Neurospora crassa OR74A: one gene and its partners. The protein of the gene in region 3 interacts with the protein of the main gene of each other region in a biochemical or structural test. Links are inferred from orthologs where the notes say so. Each region holds a gene or a part of one and is shown on either strand. Other genes may lie near its edges.

The links.
Region 1: of the proteins of cpc-3 (region 3) and NCU06099, one has a biochemical effect on the other in vitro, tested with the Saccharomyces cerevisiae proteins (3 studies listed by BioGRID). The link is inferred for Neurospora crassa OR74A from reciprocal best matches to the Saccharomyces cerevisiae genes GCN2 and YGR054W.
Region 2: the proteins of cpc-3 (region 3) and NCU05803 form a complex in vitro, tested with the Saccharomyces cerevisiae proteins (3 studies listed by BioGRID). The link is inferred for Neurospora crassa OR74A from reciprocal best matches to the Saccharomyces cerevisiae genes GCN2 and GCN1.

Annotation. Positions count from the first base shown.
Region 1 is NC_026507.1:1,795,086-1,802,588, reverse strand, and holds NCU06099 (hypothetical protein), read left to right. Parts: upstream 1-2,805; 5' UTR 2,806-3,562; coding exon 3,563-4,147; intron 4,148-4,212; coding exon 4,213-5,658; 3' UTR 5,659-6,647; downstream 6,648-7,503. Other genes in the region: NCU06098 (hypothetical protein), read right to left, coding at 1-129, 620-795, 866-884, 984-1,019; NCU06101 (hypothetical protein), read left to right, coding at 7,285-7,351, 7,437-7,503. UniProt on the Saccharomyces cerevisiae protein: Functions in the early steps of protein synthesis of a small number of specific mRNAs. Acts by directing the binding of methionyl-tRNAi to 40S ribosomal subunits.
Region 2 is NC_026507.1:3,881,562-3,888,068, reverse strand, and holds part of NCU05803 (translational activator GCN1), read right to left. Parts: coding exon 1-6,507. UniProt on the Saccharomyces cerevisiae protein: Ribosome collision sensor that activates a translation quality control pathway when a ribosome has stalled during translation. Directly binds to the ribosome and acts as a sentinel for colliding ribosomes.
Region 3 is NC_026505.1:3,166,145-3,173,544, reverse strand, and holds the start of cpc-3 (cpc-3 protein), read right to left. Parts: upstream 4,440-7,400; 5' UTR 4,369-4,439; intron 4,301-4,368; 5' UTR 3,814-4,300; coding exon 3,592-3,813; intron 3,535-3,591; coding exon 1,393-3,534; intron 1,336-1,392; coding exon 1,000-1,335; intron 951-999; coding exon 1-950. Other genes in the region: NCU01186 (hypothetical protein), read left to right, coding at 5,023-5,092, 5,165-7,341. UniProt on the Saccharomyces cerevisiae protein: Metabolic-stress sensing protein kinase that phosphorylates the alpha subunit of eukaryotic translation initiation factor 2 (eIF-2-alpha/SUI2) on 'Ser-52' in response to low amino acid, carbon, or purine availability.

The DNA of each region.
Region 1 (7,503 bases), on a different chromosome or scaffold from region 3:
AGGAGAGCTGCCGGGGGACCGCAGGAGGCCAAGAGGCGTCATTGCACAGCAGCGCCTTCTCCCCGATGCACGAGAGGACTCCATTACGACTTTGGTGTGTCTGGGGAGCGTGGGATGTGAATACGTCAACTGCTTGACGGCTTCAGTAGAGTGTAGTTAAGTTGCAATGCTGCAGGTCGGTATCAGCTGAACAAGTTTCAAGTGAAGGTTTGGAATTGTGGCGGGGTGACGAGGAGGAAGATGCAAGCAAAGGCGGTCGATGGAAAGCTGGCGCAAACGTGGCAAAGGCGGATGCCTGGAGGTGAAGGGATGGTTTCCCTCAAGCTGCAGTCACCTAGGGATCGGTTCCGGGCGACTTTGCAAGGTCCGTCAAAAACCCCGTGCCGAACCGCCGGCGCGCTGACAGAGGACGCGGGTGACACAACTGCTTGTATATTTGTTTCCTCCCGCCTCAGATACCGTGTCTGGCTGTCACCGCTGGACCTCCGCTGCGGGCCGTAAGCTGTAAGTCGAAGTTACCTGACCGGAAATTTTGACAACGTATTGCCTTGTTTCGATTTTCGGCCTGTTCGACCTTTTGCATGATTTGAACCCGTCCTCGGCTCGGACGTAAACCTACCAAGAACAACGATATCCAGGCGGAGATGTTTATGAAACCGTGCTGTCTGCTGACAACCCTCCAAAGTGAAGATGGGGCATCAAGATGCTCGATATTCACTCCTCGAATGCGCAGTCCCAAGTTCGCACTGAACGAAAGTCCAATGGTAGCTATAAGGAATACCGAGAACAGATAACCTGTGGCCGGCCAAGTCAATAATTTGTCCATTGAAACTCTAACATGGCGACGAAGGAGGCCCGGACATACCTGGGCCAATGGAGTACGTCTAAGTGATGTTTTCTGGAAGAAAATGGAGAATGATGTTGCTGAGACGAGCTGCGTACAGTATTCGTCATAGCCCCAGCAGCGAAGGCTTCTTACTTACTTGATGGAAGAACCGCAAATGGAAGTTGCACCTCATGACCTAGAGGTATCCCAAACCCAAATGCGGCTCTCCATGCAACGAGGAAGGTGCGGTTGGGACATCGGCACCGAGACAGTTTAGCCCTCCATACCTTGGTACCTCTACCTCTATCCCTGCCTACCTACCTCTACTTACATCGAAGTACAGCAATCTGCACTTGCCTGCAGCAAATCGACAGCTCTTCCCGTTCTTCCCATGCTTGGCATCAATCCTCCGTGTTAGGGATGCAGTGTTCATGCCGTTCAGTCAGTCCTCATCCGGACTCCATCGACGGTCACCATACAGGCAGCCGCAACTTTCACTTGATAGAGGAAACCGGAAACTGTCCGTTTTGTCATGTATCCATCAACATTGAAGTTATGGCGTGCATAAAACACCTGGACTATTTTACCCAGCAATTGCTCATGCCCGGATTGCTTCAGCGAGAGTGTGTTGGTGTGCTTTGACTGAAGCTGGAAACAACTGCCGTGTGTTATATGGGGAAACAGCATTATAGAGGGATAGAAACATGAAAGGAAAAAAAAAAAAAAAAAAAAAAAAAAAAAAAAAAAAAAAAAAAAAAAAAAAAAAAAAAAAAAAAGGGCCCGTTGTTTACGGGGGGCAAGCGGAAAACATGGAAAGCAAACAACATGGACCGCGTGGTAGGATCGTTTGTAGTGAGTGTATAGTACCTCGCGAAGAGACGAAAAGGACCGTACTGTGGCTCTCCTGGTATCATAGGATGTGTATCACAATTGCTTGGACGTCTGAACCTAGAGGTAGTAGAATAGACCTAGGTACCTAACATGAAGGACAGCACCAGCCATCAAGAAGGGTATCACTACCTTTACCCACAGATCCTCCATTTGGCAGGGCATGCGGAAGTGATGGCGCGTGTATTCTGAAAATGTTCTCCAGGAACGACCAAGCTGGAGTTCGGTAGTTTCACTTGGGTGTAACTTTCGTGCCATAGAGCATCGAGTAAAGTGGTGCCGAAACCTCACCTGAATGGAACAGGTCATAAAAATGGATAACCTCAGGTCTGTTAGGATGGCAAGTTGAGCAGAGAACGCAGTGGTGGACGTCGCCCCCGGTCCGATGTCTCTTGTCCTGAGCGTCGTCGGGGTCCTATGTCGTTGACGTTGACGTTGACGAAAAGGCAAATCGGGCAGGGGCCTTGGCCGTAACTTGGCGCGCCGCTGACTGGCCCTTGCCGCGGCTCGAACAAGGGACAACAAAGCCTAGAACACCGGGGGCCGCAACCTGTTGGGGGTGTTGGAGATCGGCTGGCCGCCGTGATAGGGCCCGTTAACATCTGATAGGCTCGCCCTGGTCCCTACGGGGCTTACGGGTACGGTCACTAACGTCTGTCACCGAATGTCACCGAGACTCTGAAGGGAACACGGCCCCACGGCGGGGCTCCGCTGTTCAATGTTCGGTCCCCTCGAGGTCCTCCGCTGCCAATCTAGAATAGAGGTCCGTGTGGCAGAGGTCTGAATCAGCGAACGGACAACCGCCGCGACCTCGAAATGCATAAAGCCTCCAAAAAAGTTAGAGATCGCCCAAACGGAAGGCGAACAACTCGTCCGCGCCGTCTTGCTGGACTATCTCTAGGTGTTTTTTTAAGTGTATATTCTACGGTCATATTGCCCATTAGTGCAGTCCTCGTCACATTGTTTAGCTCCCGTCTGCTGTTTGGTCGGGTGGCCAGTGCCCGTGCCAATGCCCAATTGAATATCGATGCTGCAGTGACATGTCGAAAGAAAAGGAAGAAAAAAAAAAAGAAAAAAAAAAGTGTAGGTAAGAGATATGGAAAAAAAACCAAAAAAACCGAAACCACGATACCTGTGGAACCGCGTCCGTATCGTAACTTTCTTCGCGTCCACCTTCTCTGCCATTCTCCATTGTCCTACTTTTCCTCCCTTTCTCCTAACCCACCTCTCCCCTCTTTTTTCCTCTCCCCCCCGTCAACCACACTCGCACCGCCTTTGCCAATTCCTTCCCTGAGGGTGCTTCTCTTCATCGTTCACGTTCCTGAATTCGGTCGATTTTTATTCTTCTTGGATCTCCACCACGGCGTGTGCCCTTTGTTCCTCGCCGCCGTCCAAAGCAACATCGCATTGTTGTCCCATCGTCACGGTCTCCCTTCGTTGGCAACCTGCGATTCAAGATCTGATATCTTCCGCCTCCCGCCCCCCCGTCCCTGAGTCGCTTTCCACCACCACCTAGGACTCAGCAAGAAAAAGCGTCGCTTTGTGTTGCACTGTCGAATTCTGCTCTGCTTCTGCCAGTCGAGTTTCTACCTTTGCGCAATCACCATTGTTGTGTTGCGCCAGATCGATACTCCCCCAACTCCGCCTTCGCCAACACACAACCAAAGCTTACGAGCTCCGCCTCTCGCAGCTTCGACACCAAGCGTGACCCGTTTCGAACACCGAAAAAAAAAGGTCCGCCTCTTGCTCGCAGCGACGACTCCAGTCCCCCGGGAAAAGGAGCCAGGTAACGAAACGAATCCCACACCGCTTTCTGCAAACCGCGATCACCTGTGACTTTCGCTAGTCATGGCCAATCCGTTGCAGCTCGCCTACCGAACCCAGAAGGCCATCGGCGTCTTTGATGCCGACCCTGTCTACGAAGCCCTTCCTGGATTCACCAAGCCCGAAGGGAATCTCCGGTGCTGTGTCTACTCGGGATGCGGCCGCTACTTTGCCTACGCCACTAACGAGGGCGTCGTCATCGTCGACGCGTCCGTCGGCCACGTCTTGACTTCGCTGCCCATCCCTGCCGTCTACGAACTCAGCTTCTCCCCCCACGGTACCTACTTGAGCACCTGGGAGCGCCCCGCCAAGGATGAGAATGGCGATGCTACCAAGAATCTCAAGATCTGGCGCACCATTGAGGAGCTCGCTGATGGTGCTGAGAAGCAGCCCATTGGCAAGTTCGTCCAAAAGTCTGCTAATGGCTGGAACCTGCAGTACACGGAGGATGAGCGCTTCTGCGCGCGCATCGTCACCAACGAGGTCCAGTTCTACAACAGCAACGATCTCGGCACCGTGTGGAACAAGCTGCGCGTTGAGGGCGTCTCCGACTTTGCCCTCGCGCCCGGTAAGAACCAGAACGTTGCTGTTTTCGTCCCAGAGCGCAAGGTACGTTACCTGATCTCCCGTATGCATCGCACTTTTCTATATCAACGTCTAACTGTTGGTTACAGGGACATCCCGCCTCCGTCAAGGTCTTCAACGTTCCCCAGTTCACCAGCCCGATTTCGCAAAAGACCTTTTTCAAGGCCGACAAAGTCCAGCTCAAGTGGAACCAGCTCGGAACTGCTCTGATTGTGCTGGCGCAAACAGAGGTTGACAAGTCCAACAAAAGCTACTACGGCGAGACCAACATGTACCTCCTGAGCGCCAACGGCTCGTTCGACGCTCGCGTCACTCTTGACAAGGAGGGCCCTATCCACGATGTGTCGTGGTCCCCCAACTCCAAGGAGTTCGGTGTCGTATACGGCTACATGCCCGCGAAAACCACCATCTTCAACCACCGTGCCGTCGCCACCCACTCCTTCCCTCTTGGCCCCCGTAACACCATCATCTTCTCGCCTACTGGCCGGTTTGCCTTGGTTGCCGGTTTCGGTAACTTGGCTGGTCAGATCGATGTTTACGACCTTGAGAAGGATTATCGCAAGATCACCACCATCGAAAGCGGTAACCCCAGTGTCTGCACCTGGTCTCCCGACAGCCGTTACATCTTGACGGCCACTACTTCTCCCCGTCTTCGTGTTGACAACGGCATCAAGCTCTGGCACGTTGGTGGCGGTATCATGTACAACGAGGACATGGTTGAGTTGTACAACGTTATCTGGCGCCCTGTTCCTGCTAACAACCTTCCCAACGTTGACCCGCTGCACCCCGTGCCCACTCCTCACCCTTCGGCTTTGGCATACCTTGGCACTGTCAAGACGCCTTCCAAGCCCGTCGGTGCCTACCGCCCGCCCGGCGCCCGTGGCTCTTCCACTCCTCTTCACTTCAAGCGTGAGGACGAGGGAGGTGCCGCCCACTCGGTTAGCAATGGCGTGCCTCAGGTCGGTCCTAATGGGTTCGGCCGCCCGCGCCGCCAGATTCCTGGCGCCGAGTTTGCCGAGCCAGCGAGACCTTCTGTTCCCGGCGCCGCTGTGGACGATGAGAACTTGTCCAAGACTGCCTTGAAGAACAAGAAGAAGCGCAACAAGAAGGCCAAGGAGGGCCAGGCACAGGGCGAGGGCGCGACTACTCCTAACGAGGGTGGTCTTGCCCCTCCCCGCGAGTCTGTCGACGGCCGCAGCCCCGATCGCAACCACCAGCGTCACCACTCGCGCAGCCAGTCGCGCAGCAACAACCTGGCTGTCCGTACTCAGAACAACCACCGCAGCCGCTCGAACGTGCGCCAGGCCAATGCCCCTGCTCAACAGGCTGCCCCAGTCGTTGACGCCGCCGCAGCGGCTGCCCAGAGCGCCAATGCGAAGAAGATCAGGTCTCTTCAGAAGAAGATCCGCGCTATTGAGGATCTCGAGATGAGACATGCTGGTGGTGAGAAGTTGGAGGATACCCAGTTGAAGAAGATCGCCACCAAGGGCTCTGTGATTAAGGAGCTGGAGGCCCTGGAAAAGGAGGGTCATTAAATCAAAAAGGTCATGCGTCGGGGGTTGAGAAGCTTGTGAGACGGATGGAAGTAGAGTAGTGGTTATCAAGTTGGGTAGTTGAGAGTTGACTTGTGGGACTCGAAAATTCTTGTTTTGCTACGTTTCCCCAGCCAGTTGTCCGGCATATGTGAGCTTCTTTGTAAGTAGTATGCGGCGGTTATGACGATGATGTTGCTAAGAACGTATCGCTGGGGTCTCTCTGTTCCGAGTTAAGCTACGCTGGCAGTCGAACTTATGTCGGTGTGGTGCATCATGTTTTTTTTTGGGCATGCGATGAGAGGGAGAAAGTCCGACGCAGCAGGAATTCACCTTGAACATGTTTCACTTTCACCAAAGGGAAGGCGTTGAAGGAGTGGTTAGAAAAAAAAAGTATATATCGGCAAAATGAAGTTATGGCAGCCTTCAGTTACGTTGTGTCCGTGATAAGCGGTGATAAGTAATGAACCGAAGCCTTCGTCAGTCTCTAACAACCCCAAAGCGTCGTGGAACAGCTTGTGACACATGTGCCATGGACATTCCATTTGAAGGCTCGACATGGTCGCCCGTCGAAGTGGTCATACGAGTCAAAGGGCACCCAAATCCGACAGTCCGCCGGTTGCATCTCGCGATGCCATGTGCACGAGCGCAACGGGTATGGATGTTCGGACCTCGACACCACAGTACGAGTAAGTGATCAAGACAAGTACATTCATGAGAACATCAGCTCATTGAGTTTTCAACATGGGCGCGTCAGCGACAAAAAGAGCGCGACAGATCAAGGTGCGCAGGTAAATCGATGGCAGATACTCTCAGATAACAAAAGAGTTTTGCGAAGTGGGTGGAAATGTCCCAGGCAAAATATTTCTCTACTCCTCGACAGAGAAGAACAAAGGTAGAGGGTAAGAGCTTGAAAAATTCTCTTCTATCCTCCACTTTCCCCTCCAGAATGTCATTGCAGTAGACGGAAACCGGAGTGAATATGAAGGAACATATGTTTTATGTGTTGTGAAGAGAAAAAAAGAAAGAAAAAGAGGAATCCCAAAATTGGGCGGCCCGAGACAGACTTTTAAAGCAAACGCAAGCCACTCCAGTAGCTGCCGGGCTGCACCGCCTCACAGGCTACGAAACGCAAGAATTGGTGGAACTTAGCCACTGACCTCGTAGCTTGCAGTGGAGTTATGGTGCGATAAGAGATCTGACCAATCATGGCTTGTAGATAGGCGGTTGGGTAAGCCTGCGTTGCAGCCAGTGTTGCAGTGAGCAAGTGAACAGTTTACCGAGACCTCTAACGTTCAGGGTGTACATACTGTACGTCGGGTACCTGCCTTATACTGTAGAGGGATGTGTTGCGGGGCATTGATTCTCAAGTCGGAGGTGGATGTCTTCCCACCCAGAAAGCCCCATTAACTTTCTGCGACAAACTCGAGTAAAAAAGGCTGTGCCGTTCTGTCGCATTGTTGTAAGACTCATCGAGCTCGACTTCCTTTTTGGTAGTTACACCCATTTCTACGATTCGTCGCGCGATTCGAACAAATTTCTTGAATACCCACGACACTCGACCGGAAATCCGTCGATAACCAACTTTTCAACCAAAACCATCCTATACCGCCAAAGATCAAAGACAAAATGGCAGGCGGTAGTGGCCCGGCTGGTCGTGGACGTGGCGGCAAGTTCAAGAAGTACACTCGTGGAGGTATGTTAATAACACAGATGCTGCCGGAGCAGTACTCTCCCTACCTGCTACAATCCTGTCTGTTAACCACCAACCTTCCTTCCAGGTGGCCACCATTTCTCTCGCGACCTTCGCCCCCTCGACGCCGATGGCAACGAAGTCGGCATGTGGGG
Region 2 (6,507 bases), on a different chromosome or scaffold from region 3:
GCGCCGTAGGCATCTTCTCAAGCAAGTTGTTAAGGGTAAGCAGAATGGCGGACTTGACCTCGGTAGAACGTTCGGAAACGACACGAATGAGCGGACCGGTAATCTGCGTGACAAACGGCTTGAGCGAGGCCTCGCTGGTCCTGTCGACAATGTCCGAGATGGCAAGGGCCGAAGCCACTCTCTGATCTGCCGAGCCGTTCATAAGACCCTGCAGGAAAATCGGGAGAATGGCGTTGATACCCTTGGGCAGCTCGAAGCCGCGCAGGTTGACGCCGGCAACGCCAACCTGGAGGAGGGTCTGGCGAGTAGAGATGACCAAGTTCTCCATGTCTTCCTTCCTAAGCTTCTTGGTGAACTCGCTAAGCGCGCTCCAGGCAGACTTGACCACGTCCATGTCCCTATCATCGAACGAGAGCAGGAGAGAGCGGATGATATCCTGGTTGTAGCGCGAGTAGTCCACATCGGCCGAAGCAAAGAACTTGGACAGGTGGAACGCGGTAGACGCTCTTCTGCGGTGATCGTCGTGCTTGAGAAGCTGCAGCAAGGTCTGCATAACCATGTTGAGACCGTCGTACTCGTCGATGGACAGGATGACAGTGTCGAACGACTCGTCAAGCTCCTCGCGGAGAGTATCGTCAGTGCAGTTGATAATGTTATCCATAAGCGAGTTGATGATGCTGGGCAGACGACGGTTCATAGCCGCGCCGGCAACCTTGGACAACGAAGCCAACGCCTTGGCGTTGAAGGAAGAAATAGGAGGCTTGATAAGGCTGGGGATGAGGTTGGGCAGTATCATGTTGGAGCGAGTAGTCTCGGTGAGCAAGGTGAGCAGAGCCGCAAGAGCATTCTCAGCCTCCTCCTCATTAGCGAGAAGGGTGAGAAGGAAGGGCATAACCTCTTCGACAGCACGCTTGCCGAGAATCTGCTGCAAGGAATCGAAGGCCTCGGCGGCGGCTTCTCTGACATCTTCGTCGCGGTCGGTAAGCGCGGTACGCACAACCGAGATGAGCGTCTTCTCGTGATCCTCGAGGGCCTCGGGAGAGGCAGAAGCGATGAGCTCCTTGAGGGCAAGGCAAATACCCTGTCTGGCATCGACATCGCTCGAGGTCTGGAGACCTTCCTCGAGAGTGGGCAAGAGTGTCGCCAGAACGCCGTCGCCAGCCTTCCTTATCAGCTCGCCCAAAGCATTGCTGGCAATGATCTTGTGCTCCATGTTAGAGCTGCCGAGACGGCGGATAATGAGCTGAGTGAGAGTGGGCACAAGCTCCTTAAGAATGCGAGGACTGTGGACAAGAGCCTTCCACACGCTGACAGCAGCGGAGCGGACGGCACCCGAGGTATCGCAACGGCAGATGTAGAGCGAGGACAGGACCTTGTTGCGCTTTTCCTCTCCGAGAATCTCACGGAGAGAAGCACCGGCTTCCTTGACAGTCTCGATATCCTCTTCCTCATCTTCACCATCAGTGACCTTGACACCGGTAAGGTTGAACAACAAATCACCAACGAGCTCGACGGAGCTGAGACGGATACGGTAGCTGTCATCAGCAAGACCACGCTCAAGCTCGGGCAGCAAGAGATCGACAGCTCTAACGGCAAAGTTCTTAACCAACAGACGACCAGCACGGAGGGCAGTCTCTCTAATCGACTCGGCATCATCAGCAAGACCAGACAAGATAGGAGGAATGATCTTGGCCAAGTAGTTGGCGAAGCTGTTTCCGAAGCAGACGGGCAAGAAGATGAAGAGCGACATGAAACCCTCGCGAACAGCAGGCTTGGAGGATTCGACGTTCTGCAGGATGGTAGGCAGAGTCTCCTCGAGTCTGGAAGTACCCAGACCAGCGAGGACCTCGGAAAGGGCCTGTGCGGAACCAAGTCTGTCTCCGGCGCCAGTGTCGGACTTGAGGGTCTGCATAAGACCCGGAATGAGGTCCGGCAAAGCATCTTCGCCCAACTTCTCGACCAAAGATCCGAGGGCTCTAGAGGCAGTAGCGCGAGTAGTCGGCACGGGGTCGACGATGGCAATCTTAAGACCGGCAACGAGAACAGGCAAGTGAGCGACAAGATCCTTGCGCTCTGTGAGATGGGCAAGACTGCCAATGACCTGCGCAGCCTTGCGCTTGGTGTTGGAACGATCGCCGAGACCGCGCTGTAGGATACGGCTGACGAGAGCCAGCGAGGGGGCATCAAGGTAATGGACGAACTGAACCTTGATGAGGGCGTCCAAGGCTTCGTCGGTGTACTTGGTAGGGTCACTGAGAGCCTTGAGCAGGATGTCGACAAGGCTGTGAATTTCGGGGTTCTCGATAACCTCGCCGAACCTCTTCAAGCTCTTGTTGGCGGCAAGTCTGACCTCCTTGTGACTGTCGTTCAAGACGGCGGTAAGGGGAGGAATGATCTCCGGCAGACTCTGAGCCAGCTGCTGGGGATCAAGGTAGGCCATGGCACCGAGCAAGTCGCAAGCACCCTTCTTGGATCTCCACTGGTCCTCGTCAAGACCATCGAGAAGGGTAGGGAGAATCTTCTTGACACCGAAAGAGCTGAGCTTGGCAAAGCAAGACTTGGCAGCATGCAACGCGGCTTCACGGACATTCGGGTTGCTATCACCGAAGCCAGCGAGCAGTTGCGGAACGATCTGAATGACGTAGGGTTCAAAGAGTCTGCCGAGGATGGTGGACAGAAGCTCCAGAGCAATCATGGCAGACTCGCGCTGGTTGACCTCCTTCTTGTTCTCGAGGGCACTTCTGAGAGTGATCAAGATGCGGTGCTCCTTAAGCGACTTAACACCACGGCCAAGGATAAGACCAGCAAGACCGTAGGCGGCACCACGCTGGACAGCGTAATCCTTGGAAGTCATCAAAGTCTCAATGACCTGCTCGATATACTTGCTGGACTTGTCTCCGCAGGTGCGGACAAGTGGTGGGAGACATTCGGCGATAGCATACTGGACAGTCTCAGAAGGGGTGCTCAGGGTGGCAATCAACCTGTCAATAACCACAGGGATCTTGGCATCGCCGTGCTTGAGATGGCGGGCCAGCGCACCGTACATAATGATGACAGCCTCGTTGACACGATCCGCGAAAGCAGTGCCCTTGTCGGGAGCCTCAAGGGTCTTCTCGAAAGTCTTCATGAGCTTGTCCAGGATGGACTTGCCGTGAATCTCGATGGCAGTGTTGGCAGCCTCCAACATCTGGGCTCTGACGTTACCGTTCTGGTCACCCAAGGGGCCGTTGTCAATGAGGAAGGCAAAGAAAGGCTCGAGCTGGTTCTTCTGGAGCAATGGTGCAATACCCTGGAAGGCAAGGGCAAGGCCTTGTCTCGCTTCCCAGGGGTCAGAAAGGTCCTTCTTCTTGGGCATGCCAAACTCATCAAGCTCGGGAAGACGAGGTTTGGCGAGCTCAGTGTAGGACTCCCTCAGCTTCTCAAGGATGGGGTTGACGGCAGAGAGGTTTTGCCCGAGTGCCTCAGCAAGGCCCTTGGCAGCGGCACGGCGAAGCTGGCCATCCTTGCTTTCCAAGTAGGGCAGCATCTTGAAGGCAAGTTCCTCGGTGACCTGGAATTCGCTCTCCTCCCAGATATCACGACCAAGGTCAGCGTTCTCCGGGACATCGTCGTGGCAAGCAAGCCAGATCTCTTCCGAGGTGGAGAGCTCGCTCATGTCAACATCAGAACTGATGGCTTGTAGAGCCGCAGTGCGAACGGCGACCTGAGGCACAATGGCACCGCGGGAAAGGACGGCAATCTCCTCAGCAGAAATGTTGGGAGCGATGCAGCGGACCATGTCGGAGAAGCAGTCCTTGATGATCTTGTAGTGCTGGTTGTAGTTCTGCATCGAGGTGATCAACGTGGAAAGAATCTCAGCGCGTGGGGTGGCCTCGTCAGCATAGACATCGGTGTGGAAGGAAAGGAACTCGATGGCCAGGACGAGCGTGGCATCCTTGTCATCGGCATTAGAACCGAAGCCACCCTTCTCGAGGACGAGGAGGATGAGCGGGAGCATGTAGATGAGTGAGATGACATCGAACGGGCGCTGCTCACCGGCGAACCTGAGACGATAGAGAGCACGAGTGATAAGATCGTCAAAAGGTTCCTCGGTAAGGTTCTCAGGCAGCGCGGAAACATTGTGCGCCCTGAGGGTAGCGACACCAATGAAGGGGCGGATAGGGCCAACACGAGACGTGACGCACTCTGAGCAGGAGATGAAAGCCAGAGGACCGGCCTCACCGGTGATGAGAGTTGCACCAGCATCGATGACACTAAGGGTAGCCTTGACCGCGGGACCCATCCAGCGGCTGGCATCAGTGGGAGGACCAGTAGCGAGAGCCTTGACAATGCCAAAGCCACGCAAGAGGTTGGCCGCGACGTGCCTAACGCTCTCGCGGATCTCCGCTTCCTTCTTGAGCTGGGCATTGACTTTGGCGTTTTCTTCCGCTGTAAGCTTCTTTTGCACTCCCTTCTTCTGAGCAATCTGCTCACGAAGCTCCTCCTCCCACTTCAGGGTATGGTAGTTGGGATCATTCTTGTTAGGAACGACGTTCTGTTTCTTGGCCAGCACATCGACGAAGGCGGTTCCTTCAGGCGTACGGAAGATGGCCGCCTCGAGAGGGCCAACGGACTGGACCTCGGAAACCTTGAGGTTTTGTTGAATGAGGTCAACAATGCGAGGAGTCATGGTCTCAGGGGCGACGAAGACAAGCTCAGCAGCAGCATTGTATGCCGCCAGTCTCACCGCCTCGGATTTTTGCTCGTAGAGTGTCCTGTTGACGATCTCATCAAGCAAACGCTGCTCGTACTTCCTGGCAAGCTCACCAGGATCGGTTTCCACCTTCAAGCAGAGATCGATCCAGCTCGCTCTGGGGATGAGCTGTGACTTGGCAAGGACAAGCAGAGAGCACATTTGGGATTCGAGCTTGGTCTTGTCAGGCTCCGCACCAGCACGCTTCTGGTACTCCTCGGGCTTCAAGCAGATAGCCTTGAGGACGAGGTGGAGGTTGGAGGTTCCGGTCTTGGCCAAAGCCGCCGCACTTTCCTTGTCAGCTGCCTCGGTCGCCTCAATCCAGTGCCAAAGACCTTCGACAATGGTTTCGGCGAGGAGAGCTGATGGCCCCTCGGCCTTGGCGGAGGACTGAGCATAGAGGGTGGAAAGAGCGTCAATGGCGTCGCGGCGGACATCGGGGCCAGTAGCAGCCGAGCTAATAACGTAGATGAAAGCCTGAGCCCAGGCAACCCTCTCCGGGAGACCGACACCGTTGAGGAAAGGTGCAACAGCAGTCAAGGCGCTGGTCAGCCACTTGAGATCCTCATCGGCAAACTTGCCGTATATCCTGGGGTTGAACAGGTAGGACGGCTTGGGATTAACGGCCAAACTGTTCTTTTGGATATTGGCCTTCTTGTAGACGGCCTCAAAGGTAGAGCTCTCCGCCCTCCGAATCAGCGACTCGACAGCGCAAAGAACAAGAGCGCCGGTAACAGTACCGTTCTGGGCAGCAGTCGCAGGGTTCGCGACGACCTCAGCAAAAGTAGTTCCCAGGGGAGTAACGACAGCCTCGGCGAACTTGATGAAGTTGGCTGGCAGAGTTTCTTGGCTCTCCTTGTTGAAGGCATAGAGAATATCACCAGCGCGAAGGATCCAAGTGCGTCTGACAGGCAGCTTCTTTTCGCCAAGCCCCTTGACGTAGGCATCAGCAAGAGGCTTGGGTATCTCCTCGCCGGCATTCAAAAGATAGACTGCGCTGGCGTTGAGAGCAACAGTCTCGGCGCTCAAGGCTGCCTCGTTTCCTTCCTTTCCTGTTACCAGAGGGAGGCCGTTGGCAATCTTGTTGGCAATACCCGTAGACACCACCAAGGCAACAAGCATCTCGGAGTGAAGCACTCTGTGGTCAGCAGAGGCGAGCTTCCCGGTCTTTAGTGGGTTGAGAACCTCATCAGCCACCTTTTCAAGAAGGGCAACGTCCTTGCTCCGGGCAGCGAGGCCCTTGAAAACGGTGACAGCGCCGCTACGAATGACGGCATTGGAAGATTTGACATTGTTGAGCAGGGGCTTTACAAACTTTCCGTGCAGGGCAGCGGAAAGATCAAAGTCTTGTGGCAGGGCGCCGACAAGAGGAGTGATGAGGTCGTTGAGCACCACCTCAGGGGCTCTGAGCAGACCCTTCTCCAACGACGGGAAGACCTCCTTGTCGAGATCCTCCAGAGTGACAAAGCTCGAGAAGAAATCGGACAAGGCAGCGGCCTGGTGTGGGGGGACCTGTGTCCTGGAACCGACAATTTCGCGGGTATAAAAGGTAAAGTACTGGCTCTTGAGCTTCTCGATGATGGGGACGGCTTCCGGTTTCCTGGAGCAGACACCAGCAATGACACCGAGCAGGACGGCATACTTGGCCGTAGGCTGGGTTCCCTTGGCAGCAAGGGCCTTGACAGCCTCCTCAATGACCTTTTCCCTGTCATCTCCAGCCGCCAGTTTCCTCAAGCCGCGGCGGGTAATGACGAGGGCGGACTTGCTGACGGTTC
Region 3 (7,400 bases):
ACCATGGGTGATCTAAGCTCTCCACGCACCTTTTGCCAAGTGAAATTGCGAATGTTGAGCTTACTGAGGACCTCAGCAGCAGCCCTGCGTGTGCCCACTTCCACGCCGCAGTACTCAAAGATAAGATTCAAGAGGTCCGAATGCCCCAGCTGGAAGCAGATGGGAGTAGACGACACAGTAGGGAACGCAGTCGCAATCTCATCCAGAACTTTGATGACCTCGGCCTCTTTCAAGGCAAGGTCTAAGGCGTCTGAAGTGACAATGTCAAAGTCGACTTCTCCGTACACATCAGGCTGACCACCGCCGTGACGATCACGGAATATGTTGCCAAAGGAGTATGACTTCTGAACAACGGGGCTGTTCGTGATCCTTGCGAGAGAGCGAGCATGGCCCATCATGAGATCGAAGGGCAACTGAAGAACCGTACCATTCTGGTCGAGGAGATGGACCGCGTTTTGGCCATAATGCGAAGAGCTGGGATACAGACAGACCGTAGGAGCCTCAACCGCACCGTGTCGCCGGAAGATGGATATCAAGGTGTCCTTGACGATGAACTGTCGCATGAGTTCTTGGGGTGATGGCCCAGATGAAGACATGTCCCAAGCGTAATCCTTTGCTTGTTCGATTGGCCTGGAGAATAAAGTTTCGAGCATCTTTTGGTAGTAAGGTGAGTTGGGATCCGACAATCCAGCAATCGCACGCCGTATCGCCTCGCTTTCCATCTGAATCGGAAGCTTGCCACTCTTCATAAGCTCTGAGCTCGAAGGGCGCTCTTTAGGGTTGTGAGTCAGCAGTGACAACAGGACCTCGAGATGGTTTTTATCCATATGTTTGAAGTCAGCGGGCAAAATGGGAGGGGATTGGCGCAGCTGCTCAAGGACCATGGCGCGCTGCATTCCAAGCATGGGAGGGTACGACATCTCGAAGAAAATCACGCCCAAGGAATACATCTAGGGATGATGTCAGTCTAGTCTTGCAAGGAGGATGGGAAAAACCTACATCCACCTTTGATGTATAAGAGCCGCTGCCACCCGTCCGGACCTCAGGGGCGACATAAACTGCTGTGCCAATGCTCCTGGTCATGTCGCTTGCATCCAAGCTTGCTGTTGACCTGTCTATCGCCAACTGTCCGCTAGTGGCCAGCCCAAAATCGCCGATCTTTACATTATCCAGGCCGTCAGGTCCAGAAGAGATGAAGATATTCTCGGGCTTGAGGTCACGGTGAACGATGTTGAGGCTGTGAATGTGGCAGAGCCCTTCTAGAATTTGGCGGAATAAGCGCCAGATCTCAGCTGTTTCCTTAGACAGATTCCGAGAAATCAAGTCGCGCAGTGTCTATAGAACTGTCAGTGTTGCCATTCGGATTTTGGTTTTGGCATAATGGGAACCTACCCGCTTCTCGCAATACTCCATGGAAATATACATCACGGTCTTGTATGGGCGAGCACTTCCCCGTCGAGGACGCCGTCCTGTGACACCAAGGTGGTTCTTGCCGCTTACAGTGGCAGCATCGTCATTTGAGTCATTGTCGGATTCATCCTCTTCATCGTCTTCATCTTCGTCGTCATCCTCTTCTTCACTCGAGCTGTAGTCGTACTCAATGCCCGGGTGCCCACTGGAGGACATGAAATCTAGACCTCTGCTTTTGCTCTCGGCAAATTCAATATTTATGCCGTGGGATATCGTGACCTGAGAGTTGTCTGTAACGTCTGTAGCGCCGCCTTCGGTTGAAGTATCGCCTTCTGTGTCCGCGTAGTCCGGCACCTCCTCCAGCCATGTATTGTAGTATCTGACAACAGCCGGATGGTTCATCTGGGAAAGCAGTCGGACTTCCTTTAGGATCTCTGAAAGTGTCTCTTGAGACCTTTGTGTGATTTTTTTGATGGCGTATAGGTGTCCGTCAATCATCTTGCGGGCTCGGACAACCTCTCCGAACCCTCCTTTTCCAAGACGAGCCTCTTCCACATAGTCCTGTCGGTATCTGGAAGACATGGGTCCGCGACTCATCGAGTCGTGCCTCATCCTCTGCGGGGTCATTTGCGGCATGGGCATCAGGGAACCCGGCACAGCAATGTCCTCGTCATCGATAATGGGCGCATTGGTAGCAAGGAATTCGCTTGAGCTCAACTCAAAAGCCCGCGGCCGCTTCTTGGGGTCGGACTTGAAGAACTTGGAGACCAGTTCTTCCAGCGGAGCCGACAAGGAAAGAGAATCCATCAGTGCGGAAGGCGAATGATACTTTTCGACAACATCCAAACCGAAGATCATCTGAAGAAAGACGATGCCAAAGTCCCAGACATCGGTCTTTTGAGTGTATTGAGGCTTCGTTACACCTGCAATTTCGGGCGGAAACCAGTATGCGGATTTGGCGGCTTTTGAGGATGTCAGCGTCTTTATCTTTGTACAGAGGTTGTGAAGCTCCCTCTGATAAAAAGAATCAGTGATTTTAGGCACTATATCCCCCGCCTCGTTTCTGTAGAGGAGAATGTTGGCTGGGTGAAGGTCTTGATGAATGATTCCGTTGTTGTGTAGGAATGCAAGTGCTTCCAGAAGGTCGGCCGTCCATATCTTTGCCTTGTTGGTGTCAATATGGCCCGCTAGATCGAGAAGCTCTTCAATGGGCCCCTTGGTGGCGAGGGGCGTCAGAATGCTGACGGTCCAGATGGTCGGCGCAGAAGAATCGGTGTCGCTGATGCCTCGATCGATCCTGAAGTCAAGGAAGGGAAGCAGATTCTGATGGCGAAGCTTTTTCAGTGTTTCCATCTGCGACTCTAGATACTGCAGCTGCTTCTTGAACTGAGCCGAATCCTTTCCGTGTGACTTGACTTCTACTTGCTTCAAGGCTAGGCTAGGGCGCACTGTTCTGGCGGACAGGACTGGTTTGACCTTGTAGACGGTGGTGATGGGACCTTCGCGAAAGACAGTTTTGCCAATGACGGTTTGGAAGAACAAGGCATTACCAGAGCCATCAGTGATCTTGCAGGGCTGATCAAACATGAGCGTCTCGTCAGTCTCGCCGGGATCTTGCGGAGCACGGTCAGGGGATAATTGATGGCTCCTGTTCTTCTTTCTGGATTCTTTTGCTTTATTTCGCTGGCGCTTGAGCTCTTCCTGGAGCATGTCTTCGAGGACTCTTTCTTCCTCCTTGCTCTCTTCGAGCTTCTTCCGTTCCTCTCGCTCCTTTTCGCTCTGCGCTAACCTTGCCAGCTCTGCTTCGTGGGCTGCCCTCTCCTCTTCCAAGGAGGGGATCTCCAGCCCCTGGACCTTTTTCTGAGCGGCTTCCTCCAGGATATCGCGGATCCCTTCGACAATCTGGTCTATCATCTCCTGTTCCGCTTGCGCATAGATCTTTGGTTGTGTCTCCACAAACTTTTGAATCTTGAACTTGGTCGACTCTCGGAGACTGTGGTCATCCTTGATGGTCAGCAGTGGAGGTGTCTTTGGGTAAGTTGCCACCATGACCACGCCCAGTGTCACTGAAAGCTCTTGGTCAGATGAAGGTTTAATCTTGATGTCAAAACGGGGTTCCGATTTCTGGACGTCTGTCAGTGAACAACATTGTGGGAAGAGAAGAGATAAGATAGATCTTACCTGCCATGCCCCGTGTGCTGCTTCATGTTGGGTGAAGTCCTCTCCATAGATGGCCTGCAGCACCATGACTTCACTCTCCTGGACTTCCTGATAATGAGTCTTTGCTGGTGGGGTTTGCCCCGGGGCCTTGAGCCCCGGGAAAGTGGTGTTGCCTTCATTGTTCTTCTTGGGGGTTTGTTGTTGGGCAGGCTTCTTCTTGCCGGCAGGTTTCTTCCACGCCATTATTGCGAGACCCGGTTCTGCTGGGCAGAGATGCTTGTTATTAATCAGTGAGTCTTGTTAGTCGTTGTGGAAAGGGGGTTGGTCTGGTATATTAGGCCTTATGCAACGGACACAGCCGAGATGGCTGCGAGACTTCACTGAGCGGAGCCCATCTTTTCTCGTGGTAGACTGGGTTCAGATGCGGGAAAGGGAAGACAAGGTGGAAGGGCAAGGGTGAAGGTTGGGTGGAAACGAAGTGACGTGGTCAACGGTCGCGTTTCCAAAAGTGAGTGGGAGCAGAGGAGATGGATGGATGTAAGATGGGTGAAGTGGACAAGTGAGTGGGTGACTCGTTGGATGACTCCAACTGTGACTTGGAATGGAAATGAAGACCCGTGAAGGTCCCCAACAACAGGATGGTCCAGAGCCCGAGTCCACGACAACAGCATCCATTCCGCTGTTCAGCTCGAGCCTGGCTGATAAGGTTCCCCCAGCGAGTCCCGATAAACTAAGTACTTTGTTAACTAGGAAGTTCCCACCGCTGTGAGCGGGTACGGGCAGTCCAGTACTACCTACCTCACGACATATGTAGTGTACTTATCTTCACAGCAGGTGCCTAGGCTAGGTATGTAGGTAGCTGGGTAGCGGGTTCCAGGTTCTCAAGGTTCACCGGCCGAGGGATGGATGGACCGTGGCGAACACTTGCAAGTGGGGTCGGAGCAAAGAATACATGATAGAGGCACAAGTGGAGACCCTGCAGTAGGTCCCACTTGGGAATCTGAACCTGAATTGAGATCTTTGCCGCGCTCCCGTCTGTTTGCTTGGAACTGAATGGCACTGGACCACACTGACAGGACGCTGAACGGATGGATGGCGGGACGAGCCATCAGGTCAGCTTCATCCATCCCGTTCGTCCTCCACTTCTCATCCCGATTCTCATTGGCTCCCGTCTGTCCTGTTCAGGGAAAGAGTAAACAAATCACCCACTCGCCCATCAAACAGGATTAGTTCTTCCACTCCCATTGCTCTCGACTCAGCTGCGACACACAACTGCAGCCCGCGAATCCGATCCCATTCTTACCTCTACAACCTCCATCACCACCATCAACCAATTCTCCCACCTTATCGCGCGAATCGTATTCGAGGGGCCTATTTCCCCCATCGCCGACCGCCCAGAGTATGCTGCGCTAGACCTCGCTTCAGCTTCTTCATCCATCGCCGACCGACACAATGATTAGTTGGGCGTTGCGGCGAAACAATAACTCGACTGCGCAAAATGCACAGGGCGCACCCGATGCCGGTACGGTTGCAGGCCATTGCAGGAGCCTCAGCGCATTTATTCCTCATTGTTGAGTCTGACCATTTGGCCCAGATGAATCTACCAACCAGCTCGATGTCCCCGATACTCCAGCGCCGGTCTTCGCTGTGCGCGCCTTGAAGACTGCCTTGTTCGGCACACCCGCCAAAGATTCGAAGAAAACCGCCCCTATGCCCGGTCCTCATCGATCACCGACGAAACCGAACGGCATTCTCTTGACTCCAGGCGTCGGCGCAGCCCGTCGCAAACGCGTTTCCTTTGGTCATGGCGTTAAGGCGGGATCGGCCCTGGATTTGACCGCGACGGGCGGCCTTGGCACTGACGGTCAGGCCTCGAAACCAAAGACCCGATTGACCGAAATTCTCGAAAATTCACGGACCAGGCCGCAAACCGCAGATACTGGTGTCAAGACGTTTTCGGCCGAAGATGCATGGGATGAAGATGATGTCGAGTATTATGACGACTCGGATCTCGAAACAGATATCACAGATGCCACAGTCGATCTCAACGAACCACACTCGCGTTCTGGAAGGTACTGGAAGGCCGAGTTCGAAAAGTATCACGCGGATGCGAGGGCGGAAATGGAGAAGCTGGTTAGATACAAGCAGCTCGCAAAGTCCTACGCCAAACTGAAAGATGCCGAGGCCGTCGACTTGAACAAGAAGCTCAAGGAGGAACAGGAGAGGGTCCAGCAAATGGAGGAGCAAATTGCCGAGATGACGCGCCACGTCAATGTCTATTCGAAGCGAGGTGGTGTCGAGCCCAACAACGGCTTGATAGAAGAGCTTAATCGGCAAAAGGCTTTGGCGCAAGAGTACAGGGCCCAGGTCGAGGAATTGGAAGAGATACTGCGCGAAGATGAAGAGGATCATAATGACTATCAGGCCGGGAGCCATGCTTCATACAAACGACGGATTGCATCGCCAAGAACTCATCGGACACTTTTGGAGGCCCAGCGAGAGCTTAGGAAGGCTAGGTCACAGGTTAGGGAACTTGGAAAGCTTCGGGACGAGCGGGGCCGAATGAAGACTGAGCTAAAATTCGCCGAGCAACGAGCCACCGCACTCGCCGAGGAGAATAAGAAACTCAACAGTGAGGTGGTGCTGAGCAATTTCAAGGTCAAGGACTTGGAGAAACGGCTGGCCGAATCCAAGAATGAGAATCTGGTAAAGGACAATGAACTTCAAAAACTCAGGGCAGATTATAACAAGTTGAAGGAGGACGCCAAATCCCGATATGTCGAAGCGAGGGAAGTTTTGGAAAAGAAGAACGACAAAATATCCGAACTTCAGCAGGAGATTGCAACCCTCAAGGCAGAGACGATCGAGTCCAAGTGGGCGGCGCGGATGAAGAACCTGGAGGCGAAATTGAAAGCGAGCCACGACAAGGTCAAGGAGGCAAATGACCGAGAAGAAGCACTCAAGTTCCTGGAATCGGCCGAGGAGGAGAGCACATTGCTGTTCAAGGAGCTAGATGCTCTCAGGAAAACAAGCATCCAACGAGGGCTTTTGGCTCCCGCACCAGCTGCCGGAGCCCAGAAAAGAATCAGGACCATTACGGGCGACATCAAGCGGTACAGCTACGAGGACGATGCGTTGGTTTCTTCTCGTGCGTTTCGAGAGAAGGTAGAGGCAGACATGGGCAAAAAGCCTCTAGGATTCGGTGAAGCCGCGAAGCAACAAGCACCTTCGTGGACGACCAGCCAGCCTGAGCGGGCAGCCACCTCGCATAGGACAACAGCAGGGACTACCACGACAGCCGGCTCATCTGCCGCTGCCAGGACTCTCCGCACAAAGTCCAGCTTGGAGGACATTCTAGGCAAGAAGCTGAACAAGCCATGGACGAGCACTAAGGCGACGGCAACAGCGGCTGCTAACGCTGGCTCTCAATTGCCAACCACGAGGATGACGCGTATCGCCCGGCCTCTCTCCAACGAAGTGCCCGAGCTCGAGCCATTCAAGGCTCCCACTTCTCACTCCTTCAAGGTGCCGGATCTTGAGCCCTTCAAACCAGATGTGGTGCCGCATTCAAACATTGCGCGTTTGGAAGGGTTTGACATTGACAGCAGCTCTGTCTGGAACGTCGGTAGCATAACACCCCCTCCGAAGACGTCCGCATCCACAACACTTCCCGCAGACCGCCGGGCAGCAGCCATTGCTCGATTGCAGCGCAAAAGAGCCGAAAGGGAGAGGGGTCTGGGCGACAGGAATAAGGAGAACCTGTGGCCTTAATAGAGGTATGCATACCACTTATTCTTCGTGGCGATAATGTCTGTAGCTTCATATGTACA